Linked DNA regions of Arabidopsis thaliana. The protein of the gene in region 1 interacts with the protein of each later gene in a pairwise test. Each region holds a gene or a part of one and is shown on either strand. Other genes may lie near its edges. The genes, in order: RACK1B_AT, SPCH and MKK4.

Region 1 (5,250 bases):
ACCGGTTCTTGCTTGGTTCAGCTGTAATCACATTCATTGTCTTCTCAATCTGTGGTAAGACCTTTGCCAATGGTTTCCCTGTAGCCAAACCGCCTGCTTCAGTCTGCGTTTCCATTTCCTCTACCAACACATCCGTGAAGCACTTGAGCGAAATTTCGACTATATTTGTGAATTCAGTGCTGCAACAAGAAAGACACCAAGAGATAAGTTTATTCCCCACAATCATCCAAGAGTGTAAGAAAGAGGAAAAATTGTGTGTTTATCTTAGCAGATAGACATTACTTACCTGATGAGTACTTCTCGAGTCTCAACCATGAGTTGATGAAACTTGGACACAGCTTCATCAGAAGAGTCACTTGTGGTTCTTGAAAGCTTTGTGTCTTGAGGCATCATTAAATAATCAACCCAGTGATGTGGGCTTCCAGTGCTCATAAACACATCTACAATCTGCATCACGGTTTCTTGAAGAACTCTTGTGGTAATTACATCCTTTAACTGCTTTCTGCAATTAAACACACAAAAACATATTAGAGTTTTTCCAACAATAGTCAAATTATAAACGATCTAGATACGAATTTTTGCAATGTACCCTTTAAGGACTTCCTCGGCTGAACCCTGCATATCTGAAATCAAACTTGGCATTGCATTGGTGACAAGAAAATCAGCACTCGACAAAAACTTCTGTTCATCATCTCTATCAATGAGATCTACCTCTTCCTGCAAACAAAAAGAAACAAATTTAATAGATACACTGTTGAAAGCTCACAGGGCAAGCAGATCACAGGACAAGCGGCCGTGGCTTTAAAAGGTAATCTGGAACTATATCAAAGAAAGATAGGTGATTCCAGAGTATTAGTCCACAGATAGGTCAAATGCATAATCGTTATCGCAATTAAACACAGCTACTAGAGACATAATTATACAAGTTCTTAACAGAACAACCAGTGAGTTTCCCCGAGAAATAGCTTGTTGGGGATGAGATAAGCAAAGTACACTGAATCATACTTGCGAGCAAATGAGAGCAGTAAAGAACATGTGCAGTATCGTTTAATAAACAGCAAATTCTCCAATACAGAGAAGAGGGGAAGCATATTATCTTACAAGTAAATGAGAGCTGCCAAGAGCTCGAGCGGTGTCAACATACAAATGTCTGCCTAAAATGTTGACTTGAACCCTAATGTATAAGCTAAGCATTGTCACAGACCACAGAGACAAAACCATCCTCGTGAAACCTGGCAAATAACATGAATATACAGGTAAGAAACAGAATTTGATAGAGTAAGAGTAGGTGACTGCAGTGCATACTCAAAATCTTGAGCTCATCCCAGAGCTGAAGTTTCTCAGGTGGACTCAGCATTCCTTTCCCTTGGTTCAGTCTGTCCATAACATGAGAGACATCGATCTCCTCGCTGATACGGATACTCAAAAACTGCATTGCGTGAGGCAGTGTGGTCGAATCCACAATCATCTGAATACTCTCGAAATGTGCTTTCATTCTAAACAAGAGTACAAACAAGACAGGTCCGTTAGAGAATCCATAAGAACTGAAGTCTAAAGGATCAGTTTTTATGAGCACAGAACTTAACTGGGTTTTGATGATTTCGTCATTTTCACGCTCGTGAGCGAGTTCTCGTTCCAAATCAGCAAGCCTACGAGTATGGGAATTGTATAGTTTGTAGAGTAAATACCCACTTCCCAAACAACCAGCCGTCACCAAGACCTTCCTTCTATGCTTCCTCCAAAAACCCCTAATTTATTCCACAAGGTATTGAATCAATTAAAAACCCTAACTTTATTCACCAAAAACCCTTCCTAAGGAATTGGAATTAGTGTGCTAGAGAGAGAGAGATAGAGAACGCAAAACACTAAATTTCGAATTTTCACGAAAACAGTAAGCAATTACAAAGAAAGATGAAGCGAACAAGAACCTAACGAAATCCATGGCTGGTGAAGCTTTTACTGAAGTCGAACCCAGAGATACATAGCTGAGAAAACACGTAGAAAGATGAAGATTCCCGAATTGATTCGTTCGGTTTGAAAAGGAGATAACTTTGCAGGCGAGAGAAAGAGATGGTTGATGTGATCGATTTCAATTTAATCAATCACTTCATCTTTTTCTTCTCCGGAATTCGGACATGTAAAATTATATCTTCCACAGGGACAGTCGAAGTTGTGTTCTTAGTTCTTACAATAAAAGTTGAAATGGCCAAACTCGGTTTGTTTACTTTAATTGAACCGACTTTTGAGTCTATTTCAATTTTTGACAATAACTTCTCGGTAGAGTTCTCATGGGGTTTGCCCAAAAGAGAGAAAAAAAAGTTGTCATGTCATGTACTCATGTGGTTATCAAATTGACTTGTAACAAGCTATACCAATTCTGGTTAAGCGTTCCAAACAGAAAGATATAAATCTCGGTTCCATAATTGTCCCAACATGAAACCAAGTTGGGTAGAATACCGGGCCTTAATGCTGGCCCAAATGAAGAGACCCAAACTATTGACAAATGAAAACAAAGAACCCTAATTATCTCTAACTATAAATACTCTCGGTTTCTCGTTACCTCCATTTTGCCCTCTCCCATTTTTGTCGCCGAAACCCTAAATCTCGACCTCAAACCCTGAACCATGGCTGAAGGACTCGTGTTGAAAGGCACAATGTGTGCCCACACTGATATGGTCACCGCCATTGCTACACCGGTCGATAACTCCGACGTGATTGTAACTTCGTCGCGTGACAAATCAATCATCCTCTGGAAACTCACAAAGGAAGACAAGTCATACGGTGTTGCTCAGCGGAGGATGACTGGTCACTCTCACTTCGTTCAAGACGTTGTTCTCTCCTCCGATGGACAATTCGCTCTCTCCGGATCTTGGGACGGTGAGCTTCGTCTCTGGGATCTCGCTACCGGAGAATCTACTCGTCGTTTCGTTGGTCACACGAAAGATGTTCTCTCTGTTGCTTTCTCTACCGATAACCGTCAGATCGTCTCTGCTTCTCGTGATCGTACGATTAAGCTTTGGAACACGCTTGGTGAGTGTAAGTATACCATCTCTGAAGCTGATGGTCACAAGGAATGGGTTAGTTGTGTTAGGTTTAGTCCTAATACTCTTGTGCCAACTATTGTATCTGCTTCTTGGGATAAAACTGTGAAGGTCTGGAATCTTCAGAATTGTAAGCTTAGGAACACTCTTGCTGGTCACTCTGGTTACTTGAACACTGTGGCTGTGTCACCTGATGGTTCGTTGTGTGCCAGTGGTGGCAAAGATGGTGTGATCTTGCTTTGGGATTTGGCTGAAGGGAAGAAGTTGTATTCTCTTGAAGCTGGCTCTATTATTCATTCACTTTGCTTCAGTCCCAATAGGTACTGGTTGTGTGCAGCAACAGAGAATAGCATTAGGATTTGGGATCTCGAGAGTAAGTCTGTTGTTGAGGATTTGAAGGTTGATCTTAAGGCTGAGGCTGAAAAGACTGATGGTTCTACTGGAATCGGAAACAAGACCAAGGTATCTATTTCTCCTCACTCTATCTTATGGTTAATTGTCTAGTTCTAAGTTCTGTGAATTAGTTAGCCGTTGCCTTAAAAGATGAGATTTTCATAAAGGAAGGTCTGAATACTCTCATGTGAAGTTAGTTCACAAGATTTGATTGGTACGTAAGAGAGTAGCTAACATTAGATTGAGAAACCTGGTTTTAAGTTAGCTCTAGTCTCTGATTTCTTAGATTGTAGTGTCTGAAGTGATTCCATATTGATTTGTTGGTTACTCTTTGGTCTGAGGTGGTTTATATATGTTCTAATGTGGAATGTAAAATGCAGGTGATCTACTGCACAAGCTTGAACTGGAGTGCAGATGGAAACACTTTGTTCAGTGGATACACTGATGGAGTTATCAGGGTTTGGGGTATTGGTCGTTACTAGAGAGACAAGAAGTTTCTTTATTCTCTCCAAATTTTTCCATCGACTCTAAAGTCTTCTCTTCTGAATTAGTGTTTTGAGGATTTATTTTTTGTTCTTTTCTATTTTCAGAATCCACAAATGTGATATTTTGATACATTGATTTTGTTTCATATTTGTTTTCTTACACTGAGTCTGAGTACACGGCGTAGAATCTGATTTGAAGTTGTTACTTGTATCCTCTAGAAAGTAGAAATGGCTTTAGGTTGATGACTAACTGTATAACAGCAAGAATTTTTTCTTAGGAATCTGAAAACTTCAAGGAGTTATTAGCCTTTACTTTTCCAGTGGTTACATCTTAACTACAACACGAACCCTTTCAAAAGAATCTCTAAACACCAATGCACCAACCAGTTTATCTTTTTGTACTTAATGATATTTGGTTTTCCATCTCTTACTCTACCAAAACTAAGAGTAGTCTAAAGTGTAGGCGACAAGGCCATATGTTATACGAATTCTCAGTTAACATGAACCGAATATAGCCCATATAGAATAGTTCTTGACCCAGACGCTTACCTCCATACGGCACAGAGTCTCTGATAAATGGGTCTTATTAGCATTAATTTTGTGTGTAGCCAAAGGTTGAAACTTGAGAACTTCTTCATGCTCAAAAACACCAAATGAGGTAAACCATGCACGAGTCAATAGTCAATAATCAAAAGTGCAATCAAGATTGTTTTCACTGCTTTTCCGAAGAAACCAAGACCCCCTATGACATGTTTCAGCATCATAAGCCGCTCAACAAAGCAATGCTTAATTGCTCTGTAAAATTTTTCATATTTCTTATCTTTTAGATATTCTACACCCAATACCCAAGTCCACGTATATAACAAGATCTTAATTAGGCTCCGTAGGCTTCGACAACATGTCCATTTTATATCATGCTTTTTTTTGTAGTCCAAATAAGCTAAGGTTGATCAAGAATGGAACATCAAACTACTAAAACTATAGATCGTTTAGCTCTGCATGATTTAGAGAAACCGCAGCAAAACTATTTCTATCGTCATTAGATGATATAATACAACCTTTTGCACTAATTTAGGCTTTGCAAATTTGAGAAAAAGAAATATAGACTTTATTATATTCTGTTTTGTTAACAAATTAGGCTAATCTACCTCATATTGGTTACTCGGATACTTTCTTCTCAAATGCGACAAGTCTCAACATGTTTCGATCAAATAGACGTGTTTCTATACTGCTTTGATGTTTTTTTATGTTCCCTGGTGCAGTTTCCTTGATTTGGACCGAACTTGGAACATAAGAGAAAACATGTCGCCTACGATATGGTTCTGCATGTT
Region 2 (6,631 bases), on another chromosome or scaffold:
TCACGATAATCGGATATATGTACATCAGTACATGCTAATAGTTCATAACTTCACCACCGTGACCATCTAGAATCCCCAACTAAAATATCCAACTATAATTTAAAAATAAATTTGAAAGTATATCCTATAAACGTTTTACAAAACCAAAACCGAAACAAGATCATCACTGCGATAAGGAGATGTTGTGTATATATATGCTTATACTCCATCATACATGCATCCATGATTTCACATACATATACATGATGCATGTGGATGAATGAAGAATTGTAGAATCTCGGGCACGGAGAAGGCGTGTCCGGTCATTGAAAGCCGCCCACCATCTTTATTATATTTGTTTCCGAAGTACTGATCTTTCTGCTCAACTTGCAGATTTTGATTTCTGCGCAACTTGCAACTTTCTCATTCTCAGTTTTTTTCTCTGAATAATTGCTTCAAAAGTCAATTATTATTGTTATTATAAAAAGGCAATAAATTTCAGAGTAGTCATATATTCATTCTTTTAGTCTGTCGAGTTTTTGTTTGTTTGTTTTTGATTAGTAATCATCGGAACCAACTCATGACACGACTTCTTAATCGAGACTGCAGGAAGAATATAATCAACGTTTTGTTATGTCATATAAATAAAATGAATTTATGTCAATCTCTTTTTTGTTGTTGTAGTAATGTAACGGGCAACAGTGTTATAGAAATGTAGATTTTGATTTGCGAAATAAATAGAGCAAGACAAAACTGTACGAAAATTGAAAACATGTCATAGTCTCCATAAAAGGGTATCTATATATCCGTATATATATGAAATTGAATAATACCTTGGATCCGAGTCATATCAAATTAATATCCTGCATGCATGAATAATTAAACTTTAGTTACATTACTATGTCCGCTAAATCAAAATCACTGACAAATATCTTGTTTATTTTGTACAGTGTAATAAGTTTGTCCGGGTTGGTTAAAATCGAAAATTGAATTGGGATTCTTAAAATCTATTTTGTTTTAAGATCAGTTTGGTGTTTGACAAAAAAGAAGAAGATCAGTTTGGAATGTGTCACATAAGAACATGTAATTAAAAGTAATTTTCATCATTATATAAGCATTGCATTAAGAAAAACATAGTTTTTTCTAATTGCTGATGTTTCATTAATTTGGGCTAGAAACAAAGCATAAAGGAGAAGAGACCCGTTACTAAAAAGACATGGTCAGGTAAATAATATCTGACAGCCAACTCATTAACTTCAAACCTAACGACTACCTGGTTTGTCTTGGCTCCATCTTCTTAAATTTTCGTTTATTTTCTAAAACATTTGAATGGATTATCAAAAAAGAAAATGTCAAGCAATATTTATATTTATGTACAAATATTTCAAAAACTTTTGAAAGGGAAAGTTCAAATGAAGGGTGGCTCCTCAAGATGCAATTTGATTTTGATGAGACAAAATGAGGCACGTCTAGTATGACATCAACTATTTATTGCCTTAGATCTATCCCTTGTCTTTTGTTTTCTTGAAAACAAATTCGTTTGCTCCCTGTATCAATATAAAGATTAACTTACAAAAGAGGTGATATATATATATATATATACACATTATATCCCATCTTATTAATAATGCTTACTAATATTGCTAAATTCATATTCTATTTTGGGTTGGTTTTATAAGAAATTGAATTCTTATGCCATCTCATCAGGTGTTTATGAAATATGTTAGGGATCCAGTTGAACTGAACTAACATTACTAAATTGAATTAATTAAATTGTATGTATGGCTCGGGAAAGAAGAAGGAACGGATTTTCTTTCAGAATTGTGGAATCGAATTTTGTTCTTCTTTTTGGGCTTAAATGTTGGTTAGATTACACCATGACATAAACAAAGGCCAAAGTATATGCTTTAAGTGAAAATCTGTATTTTTAAATCGACTGGCGATAACATGTCTGAAATTGGTCTATCAATCATAAAAAGTCTCTAAATATGTATCTTTTTATTTTTTGAATAATGAATGATCTATAATGTGAATGTACAACACATCATTCAATTGATTGTCTCACGATTGAGGCGCTAAAATAAATGTGAACTCACTAATTTCAAATGTTTTTTTTTTGTTTGTTTTTTTGTATATATATATACTTGGAAACCGGGATTGGTCGGACCATATTCGCAACCCGAACATATACGTAAATTAAATACAAAGAACGTACATGTCCGTGTTTATGTGTATTACATGTTTGTGTGTACAAAAAACAATTATACCGAGCTTGTGATTATTCAAAATTTTACCCCCATAAAAATCTTTTCCTAAGGAATTTATGTATCTTTCCCTTTGCAATATGCAACCTTTATCTCTGTAATATAAAGTATACAATAAGACGTACCATATATATATATGTAGATGCATATTTATATCTAAAACATAAATGAGACACGAAAAACCTAGATCCTCCCCCAAATTTCATCCAACGGCACAAACCGCATAATAAATAACCCTATCAAAATATAATAATAAAAATTGAAATTTGATAGCGATAGTTTAGTCCTCGATGAATGCGAGTCCCTCATATTTACTCCTTTTGGCATTCACTCTCTTTATTTCTCTTTCTCAACTTGATATGTCTTTTGGCGTCTCTTTCTTTCCCTAAATCTTTCTTTTATTTTGCTGTTTAAAAAAAAAATCCAACCATAAGACAAAACAACGAACGAGGAAGAGAGAGAGAGAAGGATATATCTCTAATCACGATGCAGGAGATAATACCGGATTTTCTTGAAGAGTGTGAATTTGTCGACACTTCACTAGCCGGAGATGATCTATTTGCCATCTTAGAGAGTCTTGAAGGTGCCGGAGAGATATCTCCGACAGCTGCATCTACACCTAAAGATGGAACCACAAGTTCCAAGGAGTTAGTTAAGGATCAAGATTATGAAAACTCATCTCCTAAGAGGAAAAAGCAAAGACTAGAAACCAGGAAAGAAGAGGACGAAGAAGAAGAAGACGGAGACGGAGAAGCAGAAGAAGATAATAAGCAAGATGGGCAACAAAAGATGTCTCATGTAACCGTGGAACGTAACCGGAGAAAGCAAATGAACGAGCACTTAACCGTTTTGCGTTCTCTTATGCCTTGTTTCTACGTCAAACGGGTATATTCAATACATCCATAGATTTTACTAGTCAGTATGTGAGTTTCTGGTAGTGCCCGACTAATTAATACTATTCGTTCAACTAATCTTTTTGGTATACCTAACTATCATATTCATATATCATTTCTTAGTAACATCAAAAGTATCATGCATATCTATGTTTTTTTAGGAATAATGACAATTATAATGACATTTTGGTCCCACTAATCATCTCTTTTTCTTTTCTTTCTTTCATGTCACAATGAGATATATAGAATGTTCATATTGACTTATATTTTCTTTATTTCCTCTTAAACCAACCTATTAAAAAAAGGGGGACCAAGCATCGATCATAGGAGGAGTTGTGGAGTACATAAGCGAGTTACAACAAGTTCTCCAATCTTTGGAAGCCAAGAAACAACGTAAAACCTACGCCGAAGTCCTAAGCCCGAGAGTTGTCCCGAGCCCTCGTCCTTCACCGCCTGTTCTAAGCCCAAGAAAACCGCCTCTTAGCCCGCGCATCAACCACCACCAGATTCACCACCACCTACTTCTCCCTCCCATAAGTCCTCGAACACCTCAGCCAACAAGCCCATACCGGGCCATTCCACCGCAACTACCACTCATCCCACAGCCTCCGCTTCGCTCTTACAGCTCATTGGCCAGTTGCAGCAGCTTAGGAGATCCACCTCCATACTCTCCTGCTTCATCTTCTTCATCTCCTTCAGTTAGTAGTAACCATGAGAGTAGTGTGATCAATGAGCTTGTTGCTAACTCAAAATCGGCTTTGGCTGATGTGGAAGTGAAGTTTTCAGGAGCTAACGTGCTGCTCAAAACGGTGTCGCATAAGATCCCGGGACAAGTTATGAAGATAATTGCTGCTCTTGAAGATTTGGCTCTTGAGATTCTTCAGGTTAATATTAACACCGTCGACGAAACCATGCTTAATTCTTTCACCATCAAGGTACGTACGAATAATCATCCTAATTAATTTTCACTGACTTGTTTTTTTTGTCTCTATTCATAAGTGTAATTCATACATTTATTTTCTTACATAGGATATATGGTGGGGGAAGAAATGGGTAGGGTAGTGTAATAAGTAATAATTCATTGAGATTCACATAAACTCATACACACTTTCGATATATATGAAATTTAATGTATGATTCTAATCTACATTATATATATATAGATAGATATATATATCATTATATAAAACGTAGGGTATGTGTATGTCAGATTCCTCACAAACATACAAAACTAAACTGTTCGTTGTTTTATACTACTTTTACTAAAACTCTTCTCTAATTTATACATTTGACTTTCTTAAAAAAAACGGTGTGAAAGAACACGTGTTTAAATATTATATAAATTATACGTGAACATTGAAGAGCCCCCAAAATCTTCAATTTTAAATTCGAAAGGAATTATTCTATATATTTGGAAATTATTCAAATAGATCAAGCTGCTGAAGTTTATAAGTGTCAAGACTTAGTTTCTATTTTTGATAAGTACTTAAATTTGTTCAATGAAGAATTTCTACAATGGATGTTTTAGTATTGATGATTTGATTATCGAAAAAAACAAGATCAGAGATCAAGTAGGGATACTATTAACTATGTCTCGCAAGTATAGATATTTGGTAATTAAGTTCCTTAGAATAGGTGATTATGTTGAGACGAGAACAGATCTTTTTTTTTTTTAATAATAGTTAAATTTGTTTCTTTTTCGTTGGGAGTTTAGTGCCTCGAGAAATATAGAGCTACTCAGAATGAAATTAATTGAAAACACTTATTTTTGTATAAATTATATTTTTTTTCATATCATCTTTTTTTTTTTTGTTAAAGAACAATTATCAATGTATACTTCTCTATCTTTTTTTCTTTTGATAGATTGGAATTGAGTGCCAACTAAGTGCAGAAGAACTGGCTCAACAAATTCAGCAAACATTCTGCTAGTAAAGAAGGATTTAATATAGCTTCGTATAAACCTTAACGAGAGAGCAGTACGTACTCACTTTCTCTCCTTAGTATCCCTTTAATTATCTTTTCAGTTTTCTGCAAAGATATGGAGTTTAAAAAAATAAAATTGTTATCTAAAGTTTTAATCAAATATTGATTAATTATAACTAATATAGGTATAAGTGAGTTTTAAAGATTATCAGCTTCATAACAGCCATCGTCATGTTTACTTTCTTTTAAATTTTAGAATTTAGACGTACTCCTACCATGTAATTTTATTTCTGTCATTACATCAAGCATTGTAGCTGTAATTGCATATGAATGAACAATAGTGTATGAGTGATCTCATGAATAATATTCTTCTTGCAACACAAAATGTTAAGGGATATATTTTTTTGTAAATAGAAAGAATGATTCTACATGCCGCAGCAAATGTTCTGAAAATCAAAAGAGTGGATGTTAAAAAAAAAAAAAAACTAAAATGATTGTACCTTTTATAAACTCTTAAAAGATGTTCTTTTTGGGTGAAAGTATGGATTATTTTGTCTCAAAAAAAGAATTATGTAAATATATACACATTTATATTGTATATATATATATATTTGTGTAAGAACTAATTTAAATGTCTCGTTTCACATTTTATCAGTAGAATCATATTTTACATCATGTTTGGGATGTGAGAAAATGTTTAATTGTTGTTATGCAACTATGCAAGGCAAGTCTGTGCACAAACTAATTTGGAATATGCAACTTAAACCACAATAAATTCGGATTTTACACAAACTAAGCTTATAATAAAATTATAGCCATGCTCATATTTTTTTGTAGATGTTGCATCCAATCTCAACATTTAGATGCAACATCGAATCATCCATGTTCAACATCAACATATTGTTGGGTTTAAAACTTTTGACTGTGAAACTTCGTGTGGCTGGTTTAGAGATCAACCAAACCCCAAAACTGATGGTGGTGAATATCCCTAGCTATTCAAATTGTAGTTTGTAGATATCCGATTTTTTTTTTTTTTCCGTCACTTTGTAGATATCCGAATTATCAATACATTCTCTGAAATGGATAGTCCTAACGCAGTGTATCCACTACTGGTGAACTTACAACTGGGCTGTAAAAACTGAAATTGGGCATTTTTTATCGGCCCATAGTTTTACCTTTACTTGTATTGGTCGAGTGACGTTGATAATCTGTCGTACCTTGTTAAATAATGGGCTAAAATAATTGGGACACTATTGGGCCTAAAAGCTTTAACTAAGATTGTGATTTGTGAGTTTATGTGAAACGACATATAGCTGAAGAATTGAATCGTTTGGTTCGTAATCATGAAAATCATATAATGGAAAATTCTATCCGTTAAATCCTGTCCATGAAAAGTTAGTTTTAGACGCAAACCGTCCGTTCATTAGTCGTTTACCAATGAGAATCACGTTTTTTAAATAGACGTTTAGGATGATCTCATATAGTACTTTTTATCGTGTTGGTAGAAAGTTTTCAAACTGATAATTTTTTGTATGAAAGGCAATACTATATATAGATTCTTTATTTCTTAAA
Region 3 (5,522 bases), 1.2 Mb from region 1:
AGCCTCTCAAGTCTCTTTGATTCAGCCATTGTTTTGCTGCTTACTCAGTGGAGGAGGATATGATTGTTGCTTCAACAACTATATATGGATTTGATAACAATCCTTTATCCTCGGAAGATAAACCAAATTTCTTACCAAACCCACCAAAATAAGTAATTACCAGTGTTCTTCTTCTAAAGACTTCTATAAACCAAAACAAGATCACATATAATCATTAACTTAAAGCAAAACCCAAAGTCTTGTTTTATTTGTTAGTCAGCTCAACCATCTTTATCTGAAACTAAACTGTTTCTCTCTTCTTTGTTTCTGACAAGTCAATGAGATTGGTGTCTTCTCTCTGTTGCACATTTAATATTAACTTTTGAAAAACTACAAAACGAAACAAAACAAAGAAAAGCAGACATTTACACGAAATTATGCAGACATATACACGAAATTCAATCTACCTGAAAATGAGAATAAGTTTTGAGTAAATTTCGTGGAGACTCCTGGAAATAAGTTTGTTTGTTTTCCTATTTTTATGTAACTTCGCTTAAATTTCTAATTGCCTAATCAAGGTATTAAAATAGCAAAGCTTGGTTTGGCTCAGTCTTCGCGTAAACTCCAAGAAACAATCATAAAAACAAATAAAAAAGACAAGAAACCAAAAAAAAAAAAAAAGTTGAGAGATTTCAGTAGATGAAAGTTGGATAGAAGATTCGTGTAGTTAGCTACTTAATGGGCCGTTAAAATATTTAATAAGGCCCATTGGGTCTAAACTGTGTTAGGATTACTAGGGCACAGAATCGGTCTCTGTCCCATTTCGCGAACTTTCTCCTTAGAATCGGAACGGACGAAGAAGGAAGACAAGGAAGAAGATCGGAGATGGCATCGAATGCGGCGGTTCCGTTCTGGAGAGCGGCGGGGATGACATATATATCGTATTCAAACATCTGTGCGAATATCGTGAGGAACTGTCTCAAGGAGCCACACAAAGCTGAAGCTCTTACTCGCGAGAAGGTTCACTTCTCTCTCTCCAAATGGGCTGATGGAAAGCCCCAGAAACCTGGTAAGCCTTTTCGATCCTTTAATCGTCGATGTTGGATCTTAGATCTGGATTCTTCACGTTCTTGTGTTCTCGATTCCTGATTTGTTTTTGAGTAATTTGTTGGAATAATCTGATTTCCTAAAAGTTATCGGAATTAAGTGGAAAGTGAATCATCTGCTTCTGGATTTGATCTTCGATTTTGCATTTAACCTTTCCTCTGCTTCTGGATTTGATCAGTTCAATACTATCTTCATACAATGTTGTTATGTCCAAATTGTTGAATTTTTCATTTAGAGTTAGCTTCAGAGAAAACAACAAAACTAGTAGTATGTGTGAAACAAGAACATGAAGAAGATGGAAAGCTGATTGGGAACATTGCATTTAGATGTCTTTTCTCGTTTATGTTTGGATCTGAATTCTTCATGTTCTTGTTGTGTGTCATTGAAATTGTTGGAATACGTAGATATCAGAGTAGGTCATTTTGGGAAAGCTATTGAATTTAAGAGGAAGATGAATCATTTTAACAAGCTCCATCGATTTTGCGCTTAATCTGTCTCTCTTCTGCTTCTGGATTTGATTAATTTCATTCTATTTTGTTTTCTCATAAGTTGTTGTTATGTTCAAATTGTTGAATTTGGAATGATTTCATTTCTCAAATAGGGTTTACTGAGACAATGATTCCAGATTTAGTCTATCTGAAAATGGTTCAGCTTTCTTCTTGTTGATCCATTTGTCTAACATTCTCTCATGTTTTTGTTTTTCCTTGACAGTTTTGCGGTCAGACACACCTGAAGTTTGAAGTCAACTTTGAGCTTATGTTCTTAAGGGATTCAAAAGTAACTGAGTTACCAAGATTTGTTTTCTTTTTATTGTCAACAATGGAGCTTGAGTGAAAAACTCATTTCCGATCATAATAATGACACACTGAGTCTTGTGTATCTCTTTTCTTCTTTTGCTATTCTGTTTCACTTTTTGTATGCGAACAATGAAAAAAAGCCTTTAAAGACTCTTCTGGCTAAAGACAAGTTCTTTTGATTGTTACAGAACAGTGAGAATAGCATAAAACTAAGCACATACGTGGAGAATCAATACACTGTCAGAAGTTGAGAGAAGACCATACTTAATATTAAACATGAGAATATACAAACTGATTTTCTGAATCATGTATTTTGAATCGCAGTACGCATATTTGCAGGTTAGACCATCTCCAATGTCACTTTTACGCGTTTGTTTGATTTAAATTCGATTTCCTCTTCTTGGTTTATATCACAAAACCAACAAAACGACACCGCGTAAAGTCTGAAAAAAACTTAACAGAGCCAGAAGTGCCCAGTGAACCAACCACACAAAGTCACAAATGGTTTCCGTGCTTGAAAGTGATCCTCACGCGCTTTACACATCGCGTAGATACCTTTTTCTCGATTTTAACAATTTTGCTATTTATTTCCTTTTAATTAATTTTCTCAAAATAAAAATTAACGTTCCCTTTTCAGTGTCCTTTCAATTTCTTTCGACGAAACTTCATTTCTCAATTTCTTTTGATTTTGATCGCTTCGAAGAACGAATCAATTTAAGCCTGCCACAAACAAACCCTAGAATACGACAACGCACGACGACGAAGAAGTCGAAGAAGACTACTACTATAAACGACGAAGATCATTACTTCAATCTTCAATCGAGCTTTTAAATTTTCAGATCGTAGAAGAAAATCGAACTTTTGATTCCAAAAGCGATGAGACCGATTCAATCGCCTCCAGGAGTTTCCGTTCCGGTGAAAAGCCGTCCCCGTCGCCGTCCTGATCTTACCTTACCGCTTCCTCAACGCGATGTTTCTCTCGCTGTACCTCTTCCTCTCCCACCTACTTCCGGTGGTTCCGGTGGCTCTAGTGGATCTGCGCCGTCTTCTGGTGGTTCGGCGTCTTCAACGAACACTAACAGCTCCATAGAAGCGAAGAACTATTCGGATTTAGTGAGAGGTAACCGTATCGGAAGCGGAGCAGGTGGAACGGTATACAAAGTGATTCACCGTCCGAGTTCTCGTCTATATGCACTTAAGGTGATATACGGTAACCACGAGGAGACTGTGAGACGTCAGATCTGTAGAGAGATCGAGATTTTACGAGATGTGAATCATCCAAACGTTGTGAAATGTCACGAGATGTTTGATCAGAACGGTGAGATCCAGGTTTTGCTTGAGTTTATGGATAAAGGTTCTTTAGAAGGTGCTCATGTGTGGAAAGAGCAACAATTAGCTGATCTATCTCGTCAGATTCTTAGTGGTTTAGCTTATCTCCATAGCCGTCACATAGTTCATCGTGATATCAAACCATCGAATCTTTTGATAAACTCTGCTAAAAACGTTAAGATTGCTGATTTTGGAGTTAGTAGGATCTTGGCTCAGACTATGGATCCGTGTAATTCATCTGTTGGAACCATTGCTTATATGAGTCCTGAGAGGATTAACACTGATTTGAATCAGGGAAAGTATGATGGTTATGCTGGAGATATTTGGAGCTTAGGTGTTAGCATTTTGGAGTTTTACTTGGGGAGGTTTCCTTTCCCTGTGAGTAGACAAGGTGATTGGGCTAGTCTTATGTGTGCCATTTGTATGTCTCAGCCTCCAGAAGCTCCAGCGACTGCGTCGCCGGAGTTTCGGCATTTTATCTCGTGTTGCTTGCAGAGAGAACCGGGGAAAAGGAGGAGTGCTATGCAGCTATTGCAGCATCCTTTCATATTAAGAGCAAGTCCGAGCCAGAACAGGTCTCCTCAGAATCTACATCAACTCTTGCCTCCTCCTCGTCCTCTGTCCTCGTCTTCTTCTCCAACCACATAGCGTTTTCTCTCTTCTTCCCTTCATCAACTCATATTTTTTGTGTTACTACTGTTCTTGAGTCTGTTGTCCAATTTTTTGCTAATCATGGAGGGTCTCTGAATTTTACATTTATTAGGGAGTAAAAAACTCGAGAGAGGGTTTTTGGGATTATTGTTTTCTAGAAAGGTAAAAGAGAACAATGATAATATTCTTATGCTTATGATGGTGCATGTATCCCCAATGTAGCTTTGTTGAATTTTCATAAAAGTTTTTGCCTTGGTTTTTCTTTTGTCATTTATGCTCGTCAATTTTGCATCTTGAAGACGAAAAGGACCGTTTCGTTTCCATTCTCGGTGTTTAGTTTTGTCATTGATAAAATGTCTCCTTGTAAAGCTTATTACCATCATGAAAAAGCAAAATATACGGATCGTAGAATCGTTTCTCAAACCTAATCAGGTTGATGTCCCAGTTTAGAACATCCTTGGAAGAGTTTAAGACAATTCCTCAATCCGAGAGAGCAAAACGACTGTGTTTAGCAAAGTGGGTCTAATTGAAGAAAAGAGGAACTTGGGCCAGCTAAAGATAAAGCCCAATGTTGAAAAGACGTCGTCTAAGGCACAACAACGGTCAAACGGTCATCTCCAAAGTTGGAAAACGACAAGAAACAAAAACACAGAGCAGTGGTGATGAATTGAAAGCTTGTACGGAGAAAGTAGCGATTCTCGCAGCCATTGATACGATTTGATGACAGAGGATGGTGACATCTGTCCTATCTCTAGGGTTTTTCGAGTCACCCATACTCTTGTCTATAAATACTAAATCCTTTAGGTTCCTTTGGTTGCTTCCTCTGCTTGTGAGTTTTTCTTTGTAAGTGCAATCAGTGTTACTCTTTAGAGTTTTTTTCTAAGTTGTTGAGATTTTTGTAGCTTGCTTTGGTTTGTCACAATTTTTGCTTATGCATTTGCCTTTGTAGGAGCTTTTAGTTACGTTTTAGGGTTTTTTTTTTTTGTTACGGATTTTGCTTGCTTGTGCATTTCCTTTTTCAGTGTGATTAGTGAGTAGTTACGTTTTAGCGTTTGATCCTTCTTTATTTTTGTCATTCTTTGGTAAAGAAGCATCACACTGGCTCGATTTAACCACAAACTCCTTCCTCTGTTTTTTGTCATTGATAAAAATGTCATCTTTTTACTATTTCAGTGTGATTAGTGAACAATGAGGAGCTTTTGGTTAGGTTGTTAGCGTTTAAACTTCATTTAGTTTGGTCACATTGCTTCGATTTAGCCACATACTCATCGATCTGTTTTTTTGTCATTGATAAAAATGTTTCTTTTTGCTATAACTTCGATCCTATTAGGAAGCAAAGGTCCCTCTTGCTTTTCCTTTCTTTCGTGAAAAATCGCTTCACTTTAATTCCCTTGTTAATGTTCTTTGCATTTATTATTCACATCCATTAATGTAGTTTTATTGAAAACTTTGCAAATTTTCAGATGGCACTCCCTCCCTATGATCCGAATTTCACATTGGCTTTTTCATACGGTAGACGCGATAATGTCTTTGAGAATGACCCAGAGCACGGTAAGAACTTGTTACTGTATAGAATTTACTCATAAAAGTATCTCACTTCTTGGTTTTAAAACAGATTTTGATCTAATCCCTAGGAATGGTGAATTGTGGCTGTAGAAT

What was found.
Region 2: the proteins of RACK1B_AT (region 1) and SPCH interact in binary tests that used the Arabidopsis thaliana proteins (3 or more experiments, as listed by UniProt).
Region 3: the proteins of RACK1B_AT (region 1) and MKK4 come close enough for resonance energy transfer, tested with the Arabidopsis thaliana proteins (one study listed by BioGRID).

Annotation. Positions count from the first base shown.
Region 1 is NC_003070.9:17,980,643-17,985,892, reverse strand, and holds RACK1B_AT (receptor for activated C kinase 1B), read left to right. Parts: upstream 1-2,515; 5' UTR 2,516-2,624; coding exon 2,625-3,503; intron 3,504-3,814; coding exon 3,815-3,916; 3' UTR 3,917-4,257; downstream 4,258-5,250. Other genes in the region: PEX3 (peroxin 3), read right to left, coding at 1-179, 287-502, 590-717, 783-819, 924-994, 1,102-1,232, 1,306-1,496, 1,587-1,748 and 1 more.
Region 2 is NC_003076.8:21,585,040-21,591,670, reverse strand, and holds SPCH (basic helix-loop-helix (bHLH) DNA-binding superfamily protein), read left to right. Parts: upstream 1-2,415; 5' UTR 2,416-2,729; coding exon 2,730-3,128; intron 3,129-3,441; coding exon 3,442-4,071; coding exon of another isoform or gene 4,072-4,098; exon of another isoform or gene 4,099-4,453; intron 4,454-4,999; coding exon 5,000-5,065; 3' UTR 5,066-5,452; downstream 5,453-6,631. UniProt on the Arabidopsis thaliana protein: Transcription factor acting as an integration node for stomata and brassinosteroid (BR) signaling pathways to control stomatal initiation and development. Activates transcription when in the presence of SCRM/ICE1.
Region 3 is NC_003070.9:19,151,816-19,157,337, forward strand, and holds MKK4 (mitogen-activated protein kinase kinase 4), read left to right. Parts: upstream 1-2,507; 5' UTR 2,508-2,759; coding exon 2,760-3,860; 3' UTR 3,861-4,523; downstream 4,524-5,522. Other genes in the region: EXO70G2 (exocyst subunit exo70 family protein G2), read right to left, coding at 1-29; AT1G51650 (ATP synthase epsilon chain), read left to right, coding at 865-1,048, 1,798-1,826; AT1G51670 (uncharacterized protein), read left to right, coding at 5,327-5,414.